Linked DNA regions of Mus musculus. The protein of the gene in region 1 purifies or fractionates together with the protein of each later gene. This does not show direct contact. Links are inferred from orthologs where the notes say so. Each region holds a gene or a part of one and is shown in the gene's direction. Other genes may lie near its edges.

Region 1 (3,645 bases):
TACTATTAGCACTGCGTTACCATACCCCATCCCCTCCAGTCTAGTTTCCCACAGTCTCCCCTCTTGTGTGGCCTTGTCCTTGTACTGGCTAGTAATGCCTGCCCCTTTCCTGGATATGCTTCCCTACTCGGAGAAGCCTAACCCTCACTCTCTGGCTCTTTACTGATGTGCCCAGAAGGACATCTGCCTGTGGCTGACTCCATGTAAGACCTGAGCCAAACCGTCCAACTCTTGGGAGACTCCTCATGGTGTCTGTTGTATAAAAACTACGAAGCAAGGTGTTTTGAGGACAGCAATAATGTAGTAGGTTGAAGGGCTGTTGCAAAAGTGGTTACGCGCTCCAACCTGAATCTGATCAGCTCTCAAAACTCAGCTCTGCTCTGTGTGACTGTGTGGTCTCTCAGAGCATCGGTTAATGTTGTCTATAATACAGTGATAACCATAAAAATATTACACTATGTCTGCCTCGTAATAAATGTATAAGACTGTAGAAGGAAAATTGTAAAATTTAGATTTAATGTTGGAAATGAGTAACTTTTTAAAGCATGAGAGGAGAATATCAGAGTGTTTTGTGGTAGGATTGAAGAGCGTATGCCATACAGTGACAGCGTGACACAGGACAGTTAGAGGCTGTCTTGTCTTCACATCAGGTACAAAGGTGCGACAGACTCCTACATCGAGAAAGTGATGATCTCTTCCAACGCCGAGGATGCTTTCCTCATCAAGATGCTCCTGAGACAGACGCGGCGCCCAGAGATTGGAGACAAATTCAGCAGTCGCCATGGACAAAAGGGTGAGTGGAACTCCAAGTGTTGCAAGCTGTTTCTCAGATTCCCCTGTTAACATTCACGATTGAGGCCATGACGGTGGGTGTGGTTATCCAGTCATTCACTCATTTCATTTCCTCTGTGCCCAGAATTATACATCGCAGCACCATACCCTTCGAAGTGCATGGGACAAGAATAGTGATTCTTCTTAGGAAAGGCACGTGCTTGAACTATTCTGTGTTCTGTTGGGTCATAGAATCTCGGCGCTAGAAGGTACCTCAGAATTAAATATCCCTTCTTTAACAGATTTGATTACCCTCATTCACTTGCCTGATTATCTAGACGAACAGAATTTGACATGTTAGGAAAATGTCGGTATCCCTTACAAGAATTCACACCGTAAGAGAATGTCCCATTCTGTATGAACCTACACATGTCACATTACTGTCCTGGATAGTTCTATGCCAGCACAAGCTGCAGTCATCTGACAGGACGGGCCCTCAATTGAGGAGATGCCTCCATAAGATCCAGCAGTGAAGTATTTTCTCAGTTAGTGATTGAAATGTAAGCTCCCCTCTGCCCATTGAGGATGCTGCCATCCCTGGACTGGTTCTATAAGAAAGCAGGCTGAGCAAGCCAGTGAGCAGTACCCATCCGTGGCCTCTGCATCAGCTCCTGCCTCCAGGTTCCTGCCCTGTTTGAGTTCCTGTCCTGACTTCCATCAGTGACAAACAGTGATGTGAAAGCAGAAGCCAAATAAACCCTCTCCTCCCCAGCTTGCTTTTTGGTCATGATGTTCATCACAGCAATAGAAACCCCGGCTAAGCTACAGTCCAAGTCCATTTGCTACTGTGTGAAGACTTGGAGACTGATAAGCATGGCAAGCAGAGCTTATCTACTAGGTTCAGTCCCACTGAAGTTACAGAAACACGCCTTTCCAGTCTTACGTGTAGTGAAGCCTTTCTTAGAGCGGATGCTGAATCAGCTCATGGTAAGAGTGTCTGAGTGACCAGGGGAGGGTTGAGGCTCCCTGCAGTTCTCCATGGGTGGGCTGCCTTTGGATTTACCTGGAACACCCTGTGAGTCCACACACAGACAGACAGAGCACCGCTGTCCACATGAACCCTAGTCAGCAAGCGCCATTAGACCGGGGCCTCCGAGTGAAATGTCAGGAAGGCTTTGTGTTGTAGCATTTCCCAAACTGTCAACATGGCAGGGACCAGACTCCCTGGCAGAAGCGCCTTTGGCTCAGTTGTGTGTACAGTGGCCTTAGAGACCCCGTTGGTCTTCGGGCCTCTGACATACATGTTGCTCTGCAAGCTGAAGGGCGTCCTCCCAGGGTGGCTGACCTTTACTTCAGTGAGGACTTTGTCTTCCCAGTTTTCCTTTTCCAGATGCCTTTTAATCCGAGGTAAGACCTCCTGATTAGCCCCCACTCCCTTGACAGTCCTGTCTTATAGTCTTGTCAGATTTATTGAAAAGCCAGGAGGCAAAAAGGGAAGCAGCCAAACAGAAAAATAGGTGACAAAGACTTTAAGAGAGTAGTGAACAACTAGAGCCTTTGGGTGAATATAACTTTACATGCAAGCATGATTTTTATCAGGTAATAAATACACAGTATCTTGTTCCGTGTATTTGTGTTTATGTCTGTATATACAAGCACATCTCTGGCAGTCAGGGGACAGTTTTCAGGGGCCCTGTCCTTCCATCCTGTGCCTTCTGGAGTTCAGACTCAGGTCATCAGACTTGGCAGCCAGCACCTCTGCCTGCTGAGTCATCCCGCCGGCCCACGCACATGATCTGAAAGGTTGGTTTGAAGTGGAGGATTGGGCTGCTGAGATAGTTATGTGGTAGATGACGTCCCTCTGGAGTCCCTGAGCCTACAGCACTGCAAATAGAACAGGAGCCGTGCACTAAAAGGAGACTTGGTTCTCATTTCTCCTCCACCTGTGTCTCCCATAAGCAATCTCGCCCCGTTTATACCATCACCTTTCTAAGTATTCTTAGACATGCTCATTCATTTTACATGCTACTTACTGATTCACACTTAGGTGGATAGGTGGGTTCAGGAACTTACACCTCTCCTCACACCCTACCCACAGTACCCTGCATAAGACTGTTGTGATACTGGGTCATTTAGCTACATAGACAACATTTAATACAAAGTACATAGTCATTAGAGGATGGCTCCTCTGTATGTAAGTTTTTCTCAGTAATAGTTTCCTCTCATCTCTATTTGCTCTTCTGGGCATTACCTATTTGGCTTTATACTGTTCTTGCATACCATCAGCAGATACTTTGTACATCTTTCCTCGGGACCAGTGCTCTATTTAGGGACACACATCTCGCTTTTGGAGCCCCCTTCTTCCTGCTCCAGACTGTGGCATTCACCCTCGGAAGCAGAGCTTCTCAGCAGGATTAGAGCTCAGTGTCTGGTTTGGGAGACAGCTCCACTTATAAGGTACCTGCCGCACAAACAGTGGACCTGAGGTCAGAACCCCAAAACTCATGGGAGAAGAAAAAAAAAACAGAACAAAGCAGGCGTATTAGTGCGCATCATAGTCTCTACACTGAGGAGGGAGAGGAAGGACAAGAGGATCCCTGGGGCGTGCATCAACCAGTTTGACTAAATTGTGGGTTCTACCTTCAGTGAGAAACTCTGACTCAAAAAATATGAGATAAAAACTGAAGACAGCTAATGCTGAGCACACATTCTGGTGAGGTGTGGCTTTAAAATAGTGCTCATGATCCAGCAGAGGCAGAAACTGTCTTATGCCTAGTGCTATTTCTTGAGCCCTGAACAGCTGTTTCACAAGAAGGCTGGGTATGCACTGTAGGACTATATTAAGGCTGCTTTAGCAAGGACCACAGATCCAAG
Region 2 (4,142 bases), on another chromosome or scaffold:
ATCCCAGGCCACAGTGACTCACAGGCCCCCACTGCCCCCTCTGGCCAGGGCAGGATGTTGGGGGGAGGGGACAGGACCGGGAAGTCGCCTAGCTCGTGGCTCTGCACGTGGCTCCATGGGGGATGGCAAAAGCTGCCAGGGAGGCTGTCCAGGGTGACATCGGGGGCACAACCACCAAGCTGGCCAGTGGCTCCGACCAGCCACACTCAAGACCCAGGAGACCCCTCCCGACCTCCCCTCCATCGTTTGTTTCCCAGAGGCACCTGGAAAATGTCTAGGACCCCCCAGAGCCTTCACTGTAACCAGATCTCAAACTTCCCAAGCTCTATCGAACTTCTCCAGCTTCTCACTGCAAGCTGCCTCGTTTTCCTAAGGGTAGCTCCCAACACACAAGAAGGCGGCCAAGGTGATACACTCCCCAGAAACCAGCTCCTTGCCCATTCCCTTAAGTCCTTAAGTCACGTCCAGGTGAGGCAGACCTGTGGCCACTAGCAGTCTCGCACGCAATCTCCGCGTCTGAGCCAAATATCCCGGGAAAAAGAGGTTAGAAGGTCTGTTCATAGGGTGCCTCCTCCATGACGCCTTCCCGGACCACCGCCCTGCTCCTCTCCCCAGGAAAAGACCCTTCTCAGAGGAGAGGACTGTACTGAGCGCGGGAGGCCGCCGTCGGGGCTCGGGACACCGTACCGCCGACGGTTCTGCAGCGGCCGAAGAGAAGGACGCCCCAAACTCCAAGGCCCGGACTCTGCCTGGGCACCTCGGGTAAGGGCTCCAGACCGAGACCCCTTGGAGTCCGGGCCAGGAGGCGGGAAGACCGCCTTGGCCGTGGACAGTCGGCAGCCCGCTCTCCGGCTGCGCCACCACCACTTGTTAACCACCTCTTGGCTCCAGTCGGCTTGCGATCCGGCCAGCGGGACCCCAGCCCGCTAGAACCGCCGTACCTGTGCGCGCCGCCGCACGGCGGAGCAGCTGTCAGTCAAGGCAACACGAGAAACGCGAACCGCCGGCCGCGGACCTTTCGGCCTTGCTCGGACGCCGTAGCGCCGGGATCTACCACCACAGCGGGAGGGGGGGGACCGGGATGCTGCCGCGGGCTCGGAGGCTCTCGGAGCCCCGGGTGGGCACGAGCAAGGAACACCGCCGCTTCAGGGTAATCATGGGAGCCGGGGCAGGGCTGCGGCGGGATTCAGGGAGATGCGGGGCGGGGCTCTGGATCTTACGGGGCGGAGCTAGGGCGTAATGAGCCCCGCGCTATGGGCGCGCCTGGGGCGGGCCTTGAAAAGCTACTGCCGGCAGCCTGCACGCCAGACGCCGCCATGATCATCCCGGTGCGCTGCTTCACCTGCGGGAAGATCGTCGGCAACAAATGGGAAGCCTACCTGGGTCTGCTGCAGGCCGAGTACACGGAGGGGTGAGACGGCGGGCCGCGGGGGATGGGACAGGACGGGAAGGCTGGACTGGGGGCATGAAGTCGAGGGGCAATGGGGAGGGTTCTGCGGCGGACCGGGAGTGAAATTGAGGTGTCCTGGGCCGGGGGTAGATAAGATTTCCTATGGAGAATTGGCAGGGCAGGGGTTGTGGGGTCTAGTGAGAAGACTGGATGTCCTCCAGCCCAGACCTGTGATGTATTCCCAGAAGAGTGAGTCTTTAGTTTGTTTTCGAGGCAGGATTTCGGTGGCTGACCTGAATTCTCTATGTAAAGCAGTCTGGTCTGAAACACTTCGAAATCCTGCCTGTCTCCTGGATGTTGGGATTAAAGGCGTGCAATATCACGCCCAGGCTCTCAGAAGTTTGGAAGGTGGTTTTCTTCAAGTTGCTGGCCTTTGGGAAACTTCTAAGCATCCTTCCCGTGGGTGACACCTCAAGTCTCTTCCCTGTCGACCTACTCTCTATCCTCTATCTGCTTTCCGACCTACCCCTTATGTACTTCGAACCTCGTGGGCCCTTTAAAATGCAGGACAGGCTTTGTGGGCATCGTCTTGTGCTCACTACTATGACTGTCCCCCAAAATAGACCTCTGGCCACCATGTCAACACCAAGGGGTTCTCTTTCTCTGCACAAGCCATAAGTCAGTGGGGCTTAATGAGCAGCTATTAGATCAGCTCTGATGAGTAGCTGCTAGCCTTCTGGGACCCTCTTTCACTTGGGCAGGAACCTCTCAAGCTGTCTAGGTCCCAGAGAAATTAAATCTAGTGTGAGTTCAAAGCCTGTGGGGTAGCAACAACCAGTTCATGGCGTTTAGTCAGAGTCCACCTGTGGGGCCTGGAATTGTACTCCTTGATGAGGGGATATTGGTCTCCTAAGCTTTCCCAAATAACCCTGGAAGCCCATAACCCTGGGTACAAGAGACAAACGCAGAGATACAGGGGGTTAGAGAGATGGCCCAACTGTTTTTTTTGTTGTTGTTTTGTTTTTCAAGACAGGGTTTCTCTGTGTAGCCCTGGCTGTCCTGAAACTCACTTTGTAGCTCAGGCCGGCCTCGAACTCAGAAATTCACCTGCCTCTGCCTCTACCTCCCAAGTGCTTGGGATTAAAGGTGTGCACCACCACACCCAGCTAGATGGCTCAACTGTTAAGAGCACTGGCTGTTTTGTGTGTTTGGTTGTTTGATTGTTTTTTAAGAGGACTCAGGTTCCGTTCCTTGAAGCAACATGGTATCTCGCAAGTGTCCGTAACTCCTTTGGGCTTTGGGAGCATCAGGCACCCATACACATAAAACGAAATTTTAAAAAACAGGTGTAGGCAGAAGGCTGTTAAGGATGGATACAGGATGCTATGGGAGAAGACTGGCACATGAGCAGGTGTAACTTCTAGGTGGGGAAAGGGTCACCTGGCTCCTCCCTGAGCATCTAGATACATATTTCAGAAATCTCCAGGCCATTTCCCTATGGCCTGGTGTCAGGTTTCAATCGCTGATTATGTAGATGTGCTCTGGTAACCCCTATCCACACGAATACCCAGAGGCAAGCTGGAGGTGGTTCCAAACCTATCCAGACTCTAGAGACCACATCCAGCCTCACTCTTCTCTTTACAGGGATGCCCTGGACGCTCTGGGCCTAAAGCGCTACTGCTGCCGCCGCATGCTGCTAGCACACGTGGACCTGATTGAGAAGCTGCTGAACTATGCACCCCTAGAGAAGTGACCGCTGGAGCCTGCCCTCCTCTGTCTCCTGCTGGCCACGGGCAGCCTGTCGTGCTATGTTCAAACTGAGCTATTGGGGATGTTGGTGTATTGCCTGGCTGTGGCCCTGTGGCTAAGTCCTGTTACCCTGGAAGGAACTGTTTAGTAAAGATGTTTGCAGAACCACCAACAGGTCTAACTTCCAAGGTGCTCCATGTCCATGTCTGTGCTGTCTCTGAGGCTACCTGGCCTGCCTCCAGTCTTTCCCCTAGGGCTGGTCTCCTTCCCCTTCATCTGACTGGGAGTCTCGTCCTGTGGAGGAGTACCCTGCTTCCGTTCCCCGGGGCCTTGACCACTTTGATCAACGAGGTAGCCCTACAGTAGTCTTGTACCACATTGCTTTAGGGCCTCTCCGCTTCCTGCCTGTGTTCAGGATGGGCATAATGGATGTGGGCACCACACCATCCACAGGTATGGATGGGCCCAAGCCTGGTGACAATATTCCTTTGGAATGCTGAGCGTGCTTGGAGGTCCCAATCCTTGTGCTAGGGTTATTATGCATTTGGGTATTTGGTCTGCTTATAAGTCTTTGTATCACTGTGTCCCCACAGAGGCCAGATCCCCTGAGAGTAAAGTTATAGAATGTATAAGCTGCCATCAGGTATTGGGAATCAAACCCAGATTTATTTACCTTTCATTTTCCAAGACAGGGTTTCTCTGTTTGGCCTTGACTATCCTGGAATTCAACTCTGCAGACCAGGCTGGCCTTGAACTAAAGAGATCAGTCTCTGCCTCCCGAGTGTTGAGTTTAAAGGACGGCTTGTGCCACCCAACCAAACCCAGATACTGTAGGAGTACGCCCAAGGCCACAGGCCTCACGAATTTCTTGGGTCCTAAAGCCCATCAGCTGTGTGAGCCTATCTGCTGCCCATGCCTGAGGATCTTGTTTCCAGAATCTTCCCAGGCCCGACAGCTAGGCAGCCCTGCCCCTTGACCCAATCCCCACAGCATGTAGTCCTAA

What was found. Proteins that work in one complex are often made in the same cells at the same time.
Region 2: the proteins of Polr3b (region 1) and Polr2l purify together in Homo sapiens (affinity purification with mass spectrometry; 5 studies listed by BioGRID and IntAct, with this or other methods). This does not show direct contact. The link is inferred for Mus musculus from reciprocal best matches to the Homo sapiens genes POLR3B and POLR2L.

Annotation. Positions count from the first base shown.
Region 1 is NC_000076.6:84,698,749-84,702,393, forward strand, and holds part of Polr3b (DNA-directed RNA polymerase III subunit RPC2), read left to right. Parts: intron 1-650; coding exon 651-793; intron 794-3,645. UniProt on the Homo sapiens protein: Catalytic core component of RNA polymerase III (Pol III), a DNA-dependent RNA polymerase which synthesizes small non-coding RNAs using the four ribonucleoside triphosphates as substrates.
Region 2 is NC_000073.6:141,472,297-141,476,438, reverse strand, and holds the start of Polr2l (DNA-directed RNA polymerases I, II, and III subunit RPABC5), read left to right. Parts: upstream 1-1,285; 5' UTR 1,286-1,316; coding exon 1,317-1,411; intron 1,412-3,034; coding exon 3,035-3,143; 3' UTR 3,144-4,142. UniProt on the Homo sapiens protein: DNA-dependent RNA polymerase catalyzes the transcription of DNA into RNA using the four ribonucleoside triphosphates as substrates.